2 linked regions of the Arabidopsis thaliana genome follow. The protein of the gene in region 2 interacts with the protein of the main gene of each other region in a pairwise test. Each region holds a gene or a part of one and is shown on either strand. Other genes may lie near its edges.

Region 1 (4,792 bases), on a different chromosome or scaffold from region 2:
TTATATATTTTAATGTCAATAGGATTCATTCTATAAACAAAAATATACAGAATATTCAGATATGGATGATGAACACATCAGCTTTGATCACTCCCACGGACGCGGAGATTCGCAGATTTGCCTTCTCGCTTTGCTTTTTAGTTTTGTCAACGCTTCTTGTACCTTATTGGTACGAACCAAGAGACACTTTTCACAGATTCTTCTTTTGAAATATTCATTGTCAACTTCTAAAGTCAATGGCTTTTGTTATAAGTTCTCTCCAAGTTGGTATATCCGAATGAGAAGAGTTCTTAAGAGGACCATTTTTACACCACAATAAAAAGGCCAATGTTTACTTTGAGAGAGATTCGAAGTGGCATTTCGATATTGGGTTGGATTCTGTTCGATTTAGTATTACAGTAGTTTGGTTTGGTTTTAATGTAATTAAAAAAGGTTATTGGTTCAGTTCGACTTCGAACCAAACCGAACAGATCAGGTTGAAGAATACTTTAACCAGGCAGTTATGTGCATGGATTTTACTTTGGTTTTGGGTTGGGATATAATGGTTACCTCTAACAGAAACACAATCAATTTAGTTATCAATATAAGAACAAACCCATAAAAAATGGGCTTTACCACCAAGTTTAGGCGTTCAAATGTAACCACCAATATTTTTGGTTACTAACATTTTCAAATGAGTTTAGAAACAAGAGTGTGAGAATTTGACAATGCAAGTGTGGTATATACGCTATACATTAGTCTCTATGCATATTTATGTTACAATTTCGAGGGCTTCGTGTTGATAAAAAGAACAGTGAGGTTTCTAAGTCTTGTTGAATTTAAGCGTCTCTTGGCTTTGGGTTGAGCTCCGTCTCCATACTTGTAGGTAGCTTCTGGGTTGAAGCAACGCCGCCGAACTTGCGGACCAGGATTGTGAAACATGGCAGCAATACAACGTATAACGTAATAAAGAAAAATGGAGTTGCTACGAGCCACCCTAGTAACTGCAATAACCATAGGACTTAAAATAAGACTTGCAAGTTACTAATGATAAGAGCACAAAAGATTAGGCTAGGGAATGCAAAAAGCGGTTCGACATAGTTCCCCCATTAGCTAAGAGAAACGAGACTCATTGTAGCTACTTACCGCATTACCAATGCTTAAAAAGACTTCTTGAGAGGCTTGACCAGTGAAAACCTTCTTTAGAGCATCTGATGTCAAAGGAAAATGAGGTCCACCAGTAACTTTTTCACCAAGTCTTAGGAAAGGAACCACGAGACTTCAATAAGAAAGACATGAAAAGGAAATCCAAAATCCAAGTCAGGAAGAAAACTGATATGCATCGTCTTTCGATAAAAGTGGTAATTTCAAAAGATTTAAATGATATAAGGTTTACGCTAGTTCCACTGGAGTGGCAATGATATTAGCCAACATTACGGTCGGAGCATGACAAGATGATCCGAGCAAGGCAAAAGCTACTCCACATAGTAACACAGGAACACCTATTTTATAACAAAAACCACACCAAATAAGGTACATAGCAATCTCAAAACGCAACAACGCAAGAAGCAGTAAGCTTAGGAAATAGCAAAATGGCGAGAAATACGCACCACATATCGGAAATATCCCCAAGGTAATACCAAGTGCAGCAGAGAAAGCAAGCTGCTTTGGCTCAGTACCTCTACGAAAATTGAAAACAAAAACAAAATCAAACTCAAATCACTTCACAACATCAAATTTTCTGCAACAGAGACAGAGATGTTGATACATCTATCTCTAACAGATGCCCAAAAGTTCCTATATGAGCAACATGAAGATACAAGGATAACGCTTTTGCCTTTAACAGTTCTAAATGGGTCTCTCTTGTATTCCAATAACAAAGAAAGAGATTTTCTTAAAATCCTTTAGAAACTACATGATGATACAAGCATAAAGACTCTGTCTTTAACTGTGCTGATACATCAGTCTCTAACAGATGCCCAAAAGATCCTTTAAGAGCCACATGAAGATCTAAGAATAAAGACTCTACCTTTAAATGTTGTAAATGGTCTCTCTTGTGTTACAATAACAACTAAACAGATGTTTTCAAGATCCTTTAAAACTACATGAAGATACAAGAATAAAGACTCTACCTTTAACTATTATAAATGGTCTCTCCTGTGTTCCAATAACAACTAAACAGACGTTTTAAAGATCCTTGAGAAGCTACATTGAAGATACAAGAATAAAGACTCTACCTTTAACTATTATAAATGGTCTCTCCTGTGTTCCAATAACAACTAAACTGATGTTTTAAAGATCCTTGAGAAGCTACATTGAAGATACAAGAATAAAGCCTCTACCTTTAGCTGTTCTAAATGGTCTCTCTTGTGTTCCAATAACAACTAAACAGATGTTTTTAAGATCCTTTAGAAGCTACAAGTATAAAGACTCTACCTTTAACTATTCTGTATAGTCTCTAATGTTCCAAATTAAGTAACCAACAAGAAGCAAAATGCAAAACTACAGCTTTTAAAGACCAATGATCACAAAGTTGCACATGAGATCTATCTGATTCAATAATCAATAAGCAGAATATGAGTGACCAAACTAGTCCTAATTAACAGATCTATGTAAAAGAGAGACAAAGAGTCAAAGAAGACAAACCTACGCAAGATCTGGAGAAGAGGATCAGTGATTTTCTTATTGAACCATGCTTTTAATCTACCTTTTGATAAACCCATCACGATTCTACAAAATCTTCACGAAAATTAATTCTCCCCAGAAAAAGTTAACAGATTTCACACAAATGAACGTTGATCGATCGTCTTTTGCGCGTCTCTTCACGGAACCAGTTGAAGATGGGTATTTCCGTAAACGGGTTTGCGTAATCGGGTCAAGTATTGATTTTTTTAAATCAGGCCCAAGCCCAAACATTTAAGATCCCAAAATGATTTAAGCGACCCGATTCGAAAAATCCGGTTCAATTATCGGTTAGCATATACCCAAATTAGAATTGTTTCGGGTTTCAGTTTTGTCCGGGTCAGATCTAAAATTCGAACATGTCTTCGTAAAAAACCCAAAACAATATACATATGATAATCATATGTCCGATGGATAACATATGACTGTACAAATATTTTAATTACAAACATGAGAGATAATTTTTTATGGAATAATGTAAAAATGTACGGAAATATAGTACATAAAAATTATACAAATACTAAAAGTAATGTTTTAAGTGACACTTTTGATATTACTTTTAAGATTGATAATTGTCAAAACGGTATATTTTATACTTCAACGGTATATTTTAGTCTTGAGTATACTGGATCTAAAATATCTGAATCGACTCAAAATAACAAATTCGGTTCGGTTCAGATTTATATGTTTAAAACTTTGAAAATGTTACGTTTTTTTGAATTGTTTGGTTTTATGACTTTCATGGTTTATAGAATAATTCGGGTTAAAAAAACCGAATCAAAATATCGTTCAATCATAGGTTGGGGACCTTGGGGTTTAATCAAATTTCAAAAACCAACCCGAATCCGAGAATACCATAACCAAACCGAGCTAACCGAAACAATTTCGGTTCTCTTTTATATAGACCCAATCTTCCCAGAATTACCCGAAATCCGGAAGAAAGACTGATCCGAATCGACCCGAAAACCCGAATGGTCAGACGAAGAAACCAACACACTAAAAACTCTTGGTCTCTTTATCCTCCGAATTTTCTCGCCGTCGCCGGTGAATTTTGAGCCCTAGCACCGTCGTGAATTAAGGAGGATTCAACAAATCATGCTTGTCGGTGAGAATTGTGTTCACGAGACATACTACGAGATTCTCTCCGTGAAAGAAGATGCTAGCTATGAAGAAATCCGAAATAGCTATCGTTCTGCGATTCTCCACTCTCATCCAGATAAGCTCAACAATACTTCTCGTTCTAGCTCAGACGACGAGAAGTTTCTGAAGATTCAAAAAGCTTGGGAAGTTCTAAGCGATGCAGAGCTACGTGTAGTTTATGATAATGATCTTAGATCTTCAAGACATGATGGAATCACTGCTGATGAGATTAGTATTGAGGATATGTCAGTGGAGATTACTGGTGATGTGATTGATCTTTTTTATCAGTGTAGGTGTGGTGATTACTTTTGTGTTGATTCTAGTGAGTTAGGAACAATGGGGTTTGCTTTGTTGAGAGATGGTGATTTTGTTTATGTTAAGAGATTGGGTGCTTTTGTGGCGTCTGTTGTTCTTCCTTGTGGTTCTTGTTCTTTGAAAACACGAGTTTGGGTTGATTCTGATATGAAGATTCCTATCTAGGATGGTCTATTGTGAGCAAGGTGGTGATTTGGGTTGGTACAGAATTGAGTAATCTCTATTCAAGATGAGTTTTTAAGACTGAAGTGATCGTCATGGTCTGGTTCGGAGGAGGAGTTCTGATTGAGGATGGTTATTTGTGATTGTGTGGATAGGTTCATATAGGAAAAGTATGGATGGAGATGATTTCTTGTGACCAATGTGATCTCCTGCAAGCTTTTCTGTTGTGAGTTTTTTGTACTCATTTAATATAGTTGTTGAACAACTTTTAGTTTGTAAGGAACTTAAATTATAATGAGAAACAAAAGGGCCCTTTGGTTTTGCTACTCTTTTTTCCCTCTCTGGTTTCAGTTATGTCTCCTTTTAAATTTGCTGGAAGCTGAATATTCACGTGAAATTATCTTTATTTTTGCGTTCTTGCGAATATCTGATTCAGAACCTTCTTAAAGTTTTACTGTGCGTACGTTTGCGGATAAGAACCTGACTGAGAAGAAGTGATGTAGGTGTACTTGCA
Region 2 (6,666 bases):
CGGCCCAAGGAGAGATAGGCTTCTTGATGGTGATGAACTTTGCTTTCACTACGGGGAAGTACAATGGGAGTACGATAACGATTCTTGGGCGGAACGTGGTGATGTCGAAGGTTAGGGAAATGCCGGTGGTCGGAGGTAGTGGAATCTTTCGATTTGCTAGAGGTTATGTCGAGGCTCGCACCAAGTCGTTTGATCTCAAGGCCGGTGTTGCCAATCTACATATACATTTTTGCAGCCATTTTAACAAATAAATCTTAGAGTTGAACTTATTTACAACCCAATGCCATTAGCATTAAATTTTTTTTTCAAAATAATTAATTTTACATTAAATTCTTAATTTAAATTGTCAATCACATTATCAATCAAATTTAATCCAAACAAACTGCACATCAATCCTTTAAAATTAGCATAAAAGTATTTTGTTAACAATATTTTAAAACAAAGTTTTTTGTTTAAATAAATATTGTTCTTACTAAACGTTTTTTGTTTAAATAAACAAATCATGTATTTGAACTTATTTACAATGTCATGCTACTGACATTAATTATTCAGGCATGAAAATATTTAATTAAAGATTTAAATCTTCTAAATTCTTGCTTTTAGAATTATTATATCATTACCTAAAAGGCAAAAAATATTAATTTTTTAATTATTATTATTTATATATTTAAAATTCATAAAACACTATTAATATTTAAATTTATAAAAAGTTTAATATATCAAAAAAATTAACATCATTATATAATATATAGAGTTTAAAAAATCTCAAAAAAAAAATCGTCATATTTTGTGATTCAAAATTTTAAGAATGAACATATATTAACTAATTGGCGAAAAATGTATGGATTCAACGTCCCGCAACGAATAAAATATTTTGACAATGATTCATAAATATATTATAAATAAGATCAACATTAATAAAATAAATAAATTTTTTTTGTGGACGGGTTTGGCGGGACGAGTTTGACAGGATGTTACTTAGTAACAATTGTAAACTATAAAATAATTTACAAATTTTTACATATATTAATTTTAAAAAATGAATTGTCTCCGCGGTGAATCTAGTGTTGAATATAATTGTTATATTCTGCATTACTGAAATAATTAAGTTTGGAATATTGTTCATTTGATTTCATTACTTATTTGTTTTTATGTCTCGTTTTGTTATGAGAGTGTTATTGTCTTTTCCCAAGTTAAATAATGTATTTTATCTTGTAATGGTTTGATTTTATTCATCTAAAAAATAAATAAATAAGTAGTTGTTTATATATACATTAAACATACATTTTTTGGTCAAATTAAGTGGCACAAAGGCTCTACTCCGCGTTAATTTGGAAAATCATCAACTGATTAGCGAATAAATTATTTGAAATTTTGATAGAAAATAAATGTTCAAATAAATATAATGATTAGTTAGCCCAATCACGAGCTAATCAAACCTTAAAAAAAAAACACCAAATCAAACCTATTTATTGTCTAAAACCAATTTTGATATTACACGGAGAAATTAAATAATACATTTAGCTACTTTTTTGTTTGAAATAGAAAAGACATTCAAAATAGTAAACATATAAAACCATTGTAAGAAAAGAAATCAAATTTTTTATTTCTTAACAAAAACGTGAAACGTTTGTTTCCAAATTAGTCGCAAGTCACGGACCGTGTGACGCAAAAAAAGTCCATTCACATCATTATTACATAATTTTTGTCATAAGGAAAATTAATTTGATTTTTCCAAATTTTTTTGGTTCTTCCTCTTCAGAATATCTGACGTGGCATAAATATCGCCTTTTTCACATCGCCTGTCTTCTTTTCTCTCTCCATTTTGGGAACTTTCATCCATAAACTTCTATTTTTCTCATCGCAAACTTGAACCGTCGTAACCCTAAATCGCCATCTTCATCATCGGCAAATCGAATCTCCGATTATATATCAAATAGCTTACCAAATCCGACATGACCCAGGCCCTCGTTTTCGGAGGACTATAATGATCGGACTCTTCGTGTCCCGTCTCGATTGCATGGGGTTTGAGCTATGCCGGAGCTTCGCCGTGGAGTCCGCCGTGGCCGTGTTACTGATGCTGTAGCTCCCAATCAGCTTCCGCAAACACCTACAGAAAAGAAACCGAAGAAGAGTACCGTTAAAGCTCCAAAACCGGTTGCCGGCGGAGTTACAGGAGTTGCAGAGAGGCCGAGGACTAGATTAGCGGCGAGGAAATTAAAGGAGGAAGATAAAGAGATACCTCAGGAGATTCCGGTTGTTGTGCCGTCTAAGGATAGCGATATCGATAAAAACAAGGGTAAAGAGGTAGTCGTTGAAGAAGAGAAGAAAGATATGGCTATTGGTAATGATAGTGGTGGCTCTAACAAGGCGGCTGCTCAGGAAGAAGAAGGAAATACTGCTCCTTTCCCTGAGAGGGTATAATTGATTTGCATAGTTTTTGTGTTGTTTGGGGTTATTGAACTTTTCATTGTAGGCTTGCTTATCATCTTTCTATGGTAATGACTAACGATTCCGTATCAGGTTCAAGTTGGAGGATCACCACTATATAAAGTTGAGAGAAAGCTGGGGAAGGGTGGTTTTGGACAAGTATTTGTCGGACGTCGTATTAGTGGCGGTAATGATCGTAGTGCAGGAGCTAGCATCTTGGAGGTAATATAACTCAGTCTGCGTTTACTGCTGTGGAGGATTGTCACCATAAATATCATTCTATTAGCTTAGTTATGCTTACAGTGTCTCACATCTTCACTTTCTTATATAGGTTGCTCTAAAGTTTGAGCATAGGAGCAGCAAGGGTTGCAACTATGGTCCTCCACATGAGTGGCAGGTTTACAAGTGGGTGTTTCGATTCTCCTGTCTTTCTTTCAATGTTTCTTAAATTCATTTACCTGGATTGTAGGTGCTTCCTTGACTTGAAATGTGAAATTGACATTTTACTTTTATTGTGAACAGCACCTTGGGTGGTAGCCATGGAGTCCCTAGAGTACATTTCAAAGGCAGGCAAGGAGACTATTATGTCATGGTACTGGATTCCCCCTTTCTCCTATTTCTGTTTTTTTCTCCTGTCTGTATCATTGAAGTTAGATCCTCTCTTCTTTGTTTTGGCCTCAGGTTATGGACATGCTTGGGCCTAGCTTATGGGATTTATGGAATACTTCAGGGCAAGCGTGAGTCTCCATTACACATCCTTGGGGAGCTCTTGTCTCTTTTTCAATTAGCGTTGTTTCCATACATGAGTATCCTAAGTTAATTTGGATTCTTTTGGAATTGTGACTTGAAATGTGGTGTTACTCCCTGTTTTTAAAAAAATACATAAGTCCATACTGAGTAACATTTTGCTTTTAAAAAATCGACTTCCCTAACAATTCTTCTCCCCCTTTTTGCTTTGCAGAATGTCCTCGGAAATGGTAGCTTGCATTGCGGTTGAATCACTTTCCATCCTTGAAAAGATGCATGCAAAAGGGTTTGTAATTGAACTTTATTTTTGTTTTTGTATTTAATTAGGTTGTCCGAGGTTTCTTCTGATATCCTGTTTGGAGTCTCGGCACCTCTAAGTTCTTATGTTTTCTCTCTATTAACTAGCCTAACAGGTCATGTTTTACTTCGGTTTCAGTTATGTGCATGGGGATGTTAAGCCAGAAAATTTCTTACTCGGCCAGCCTTCAACGTCTCAAGAGAAAAAACTGTTTCTTGTTGATTTGGGACTAGGTTGATTTCATTCTCTTTGTTATTCTTGCTAGGTTCTTCTTTACCTTTCTCATTTTTCAACCAACTTTTCAGCTACAAAGTGGAGAGAAGGTGGTAGCGGACAACATGTTGAATATGATCAACGTCCTGATATGTTTAGGTAATATATTTTCTACTGTTACCTAATATAATTTGTTTTATACTCGCTCTTACCTTTTGTTGAATCTCTCTCTTCTTAATTTTTATAGAGGGACAGTTAGATACGCAAGTGCACATGCTCATTTAGGGAGAACTGCTAGCAGAAGGGATGATCTGGAATCATTAGCATATACACTGATCTTTCTTCACCGAGGTAGATTGCCATGGCAAGGATATCAGGTACTGCAGACCTATCATTTTGTTTTGTAGAATCATGTTGTTGCATGATTCTTTCTCTGCTAATCCTGTCTCTTACTCAATTTTCAGGGAGATAACAAGTCATTCCTTGTTTGCAAAAAGAAGATGGCAACATCGCCGGATATGCTTTGTTGTTTTTGTCCCCCTCCTTTCAAACAATTTCTTGAGATCGTGGTAAATATGAAATTTGATGAAGAACCCAACTATGGAAAGTTAGTATCTCTGTTTCAAGACCTCTTGGGCGAAAATCCGGCAATTAGGCCTATAAACACAGAGGGTGCTCAAAAGGTGACATTTTCATGCTGTATATCTTTCCCTTTCGTTCCTATTTGGATATCTAGGAGTTGTTGTTTAACATCTTGTAATTGTTTTCTTTTGTGCTAGATCATATTCCAAGTTGGCCAGAAGCGAGGTAGGTTGAGCATTGGGGAGGAAGAAGAAGATGCCCCTAGGAAAAAGGTCCGTCTAGGAGTCCCTGCAACGCAATGGATATCGATTTACAATGCCAGGCAACCAATGAAGCAGAGGTAAAAAAATTCATGGTTAATTATTTATACAGTCAGTTAACTGCTGGGACTGCGTTTGTGTCTCATTTTTTCTCTTGGTTATATTATAATCTTGGATTTTTGGCCTTAATGTGTCTAAAACTATTTTTGGACTCACAATTTATGTGTTTAACCAGGTATCATTATAATGTGGCTGATATAAGACTGGCACAGCATATTGAGAGAGGTATTGCAGATGGTTTGTTGATAAGCTGTGTATCATCATGTTCGAATCTCTGGGCATTGATAATGGATGCTGGAACTGGCTTCACGCACCAAGTCTATGAACTCTCTCCTGTATTCTTGCACAAGGTTGTCTGATGTTTCTCTGTTAGTTATTTTTATATCTGTGTTCTGTCAAGATGATCTTACCTGAGAGTGAATTCTGTTTTGAATCAGGAATGGATTATGGAGCAGTGGGAGAAGAACTACTACATTAGTTCTATTGCTGGTGCAAGCAATGGAAGCTCCTTAGTTGTCATGTCAAAAGGTATCTACACTTTTCATGAATACTTTTGAACACTTTCGTCATTATGGTATTTTACTAGTCTCTGAATTTGTGGCTTATTCTATGTTTGGTTTTCAAATGAATTATGAAGGTACGCAGTATACACAGCAGTCTTACAAAGTAAGCGATTCATTCCCGTTCAAGTGGATAAACAAGAAATGGAGAGAAGGCTTCCATGTAACCTCAATGGCAACAGCTGGAAATCGATGGGGTGTTGTTATGTCCCGCAATTCTGGCTACAGTGAACAGGTTAGACTTCACCGATATAGATGAATTTCTTCCGTTTCCTTCAGTTTTGGATCTGTCGCGTTGATTTCTAATTCTCCTGTTTTCGCTTATATCTCCTCTACAGGTTGTGGAACTTGATTTTCTGTATCCAAGTGAAGGCATCCACAGGCGTTGGGATGGTGGATTCAGAATCACATCAACAGCAGCCACAACCGATCAAGCTGCTCTCATCCTAAGCATCCCACGTCGTAGACTTGTTGATGAGACACAAGAGACGTTACGTACCTCTCAATTCCCCAGCACACACGTCAAGGTGAGTAGAGCAGCTATAAAAGATTACTAATCAATATCTTGAACTCTTTTTCTCCCTTCCCATGAACAATACCGGAGATGCAATTTTCTGTTGTGCAGGAAAAATGGGGAAAGAATCTCTACCTTGCATCGTTAAGCTATGGCCGAACTGTATCTTGAGACTTATTAGTAAAAACTGTTGAAGGACGAGAGAAATATGTTTCTAAGTCTCGGCTCCTATTCCTTATCCAACCCTATGGCCTCTCAGGCTCTGTTGTGCTTCTTCTTTTTTTTCAGTTGAATTGTGAAGCAAAAATGTGGTGATTGTGTTGTTTATTCCCCCCTTGTGAAGGGGATTGAGCCATAATCACCAGTTTACCTACACATTTCCCTCGAAATTGCTATATTTAATTTTTAAATCAAGAAAAGATATTTTTGTCACCAAATATTCTATAGTTGTCCAATTCTGTAACCTAATTATCGAATTCATATCGAAACAGGCTGTTCTCTCCATACACGACCTGAAACCTTCAACTTCAGCTCCTTGTCGGTGGTGTTGTTGTCGGTAGAGAAGAACAAAGCCAATTTGCGAGTGATGATTAAGCCATCTTGACTATCACGAACCGTCTTGTGACTGTCACGAATGCTCCTCGGCACGCCTTGCCATGTCAGCTTTCTGCCATTCCCTCCGACCTGCAAACTATAGCTGAAGCTCATTGCCTCTTCTTCATCTCCCATAAACTGCATGAAGGCCATGTACATTGGTGTTTTCCTCAGGTGAAACGCTTCGAAGTACAAGCAGAATTTTCGACCACAACAATCGAGAAGCTGCATCGTTTCAAGTGGGTTAAAACTTAAAAATTCACAAAGTTGCAGAAACAGAGCAAGATAATCAGTTATATAACTTACTGTTAACATCCAAGTAGCATGATGAAGATGTTTAGGATCATGATGAACATATCTGTGACTGAAACTACGCCCATCACTCATTTCAACATTGTGATCATTCCT

The links. Proteins that work in one complex are often made in the same cells at the same time.
Region 1: the proteins of AT3G13670 (region 2) and AT4G10140 interact in a protein complementation assay, tested with the Arabidopsis thaliana proteins (one large-scale study listed by BioGRID).

The regions. Positions count from the first base shown.
Region 1 is NC_003075.7:6,320,448-6,325,239, reverse strand, and holds AT4G10140 (uncharacterized protein), read right to left. Parts: upstream 2,928-4,792; 5' UTR 2,703-2,927; coding exon 2,626-2,702; intron 1,661-2,625; coding exon 1,590-1,660; intron 1,482-1,589; coding exon 1,376-1,481; intron 1,259-1,375; coding exon 1,126-1,258; intron 984-1,125; coding exon 819-983; 3' UTR 546-818; downstream 1-545. Other genes in the region: AT4G10130 (DNAJ heat shock N-terminal domain-containing protein), read left to right, coding at 3,757-4,281.
Region 2 is NC_003074.8:4,467,400-4,474,065, forward strand, and holds AT3G13670 (Protein kinase family protein), read left to right. Parts: upstream 1-1,753; 5' UTR 1,754-2,034; coding exon 2,035-2,418; intron 2,419-2,523; coding exon 2,524-2,652; intron 2,653-2,761; coding exon 2,762-2,835; intron 2,836-2,952; coding exon 2,953-3,022; intron 3,023-3,111; coding exon 3,112-3,167; intron 3,168-3,391; coding exon 3,392-3,463; intron 3,464-3,613; coding exon 3,614-3,708; intron 3,709-3,780; coding exon 3,781-3,847; intron 3,848-3,935; coding exon 3,936-4,065; intron 4,066-4,152; coding exon 4,153-4,371; intron 4,372-4,467; coding exon 4,468-4,610; intron 4,611-4,765; coding exon 4,766-4,940; intron 4,941-5,027; coding exon 5,028-5,118; intron 5,119-5,162; exon of another isoform or gene 5,163-5,227; coding exon 5,228-5,385; exon of another isoform or gene 5,386-5,488; coding exon 5,489-5,677; exon of another isoform or gene 5,678-5,775; coding exon 5,776-5,835; 3' UTR 5,836-6,141; downstream 6,142-6,666. Other genes in the region: AT3G13662 (Disease resistance-responsive (dirigent-like protein) family protein), read left to right, coding at 1-206, 1,066-1,071; AT3G13672 (TRAF-like superfamily protein), read right to left, coding at 6,142-6,666.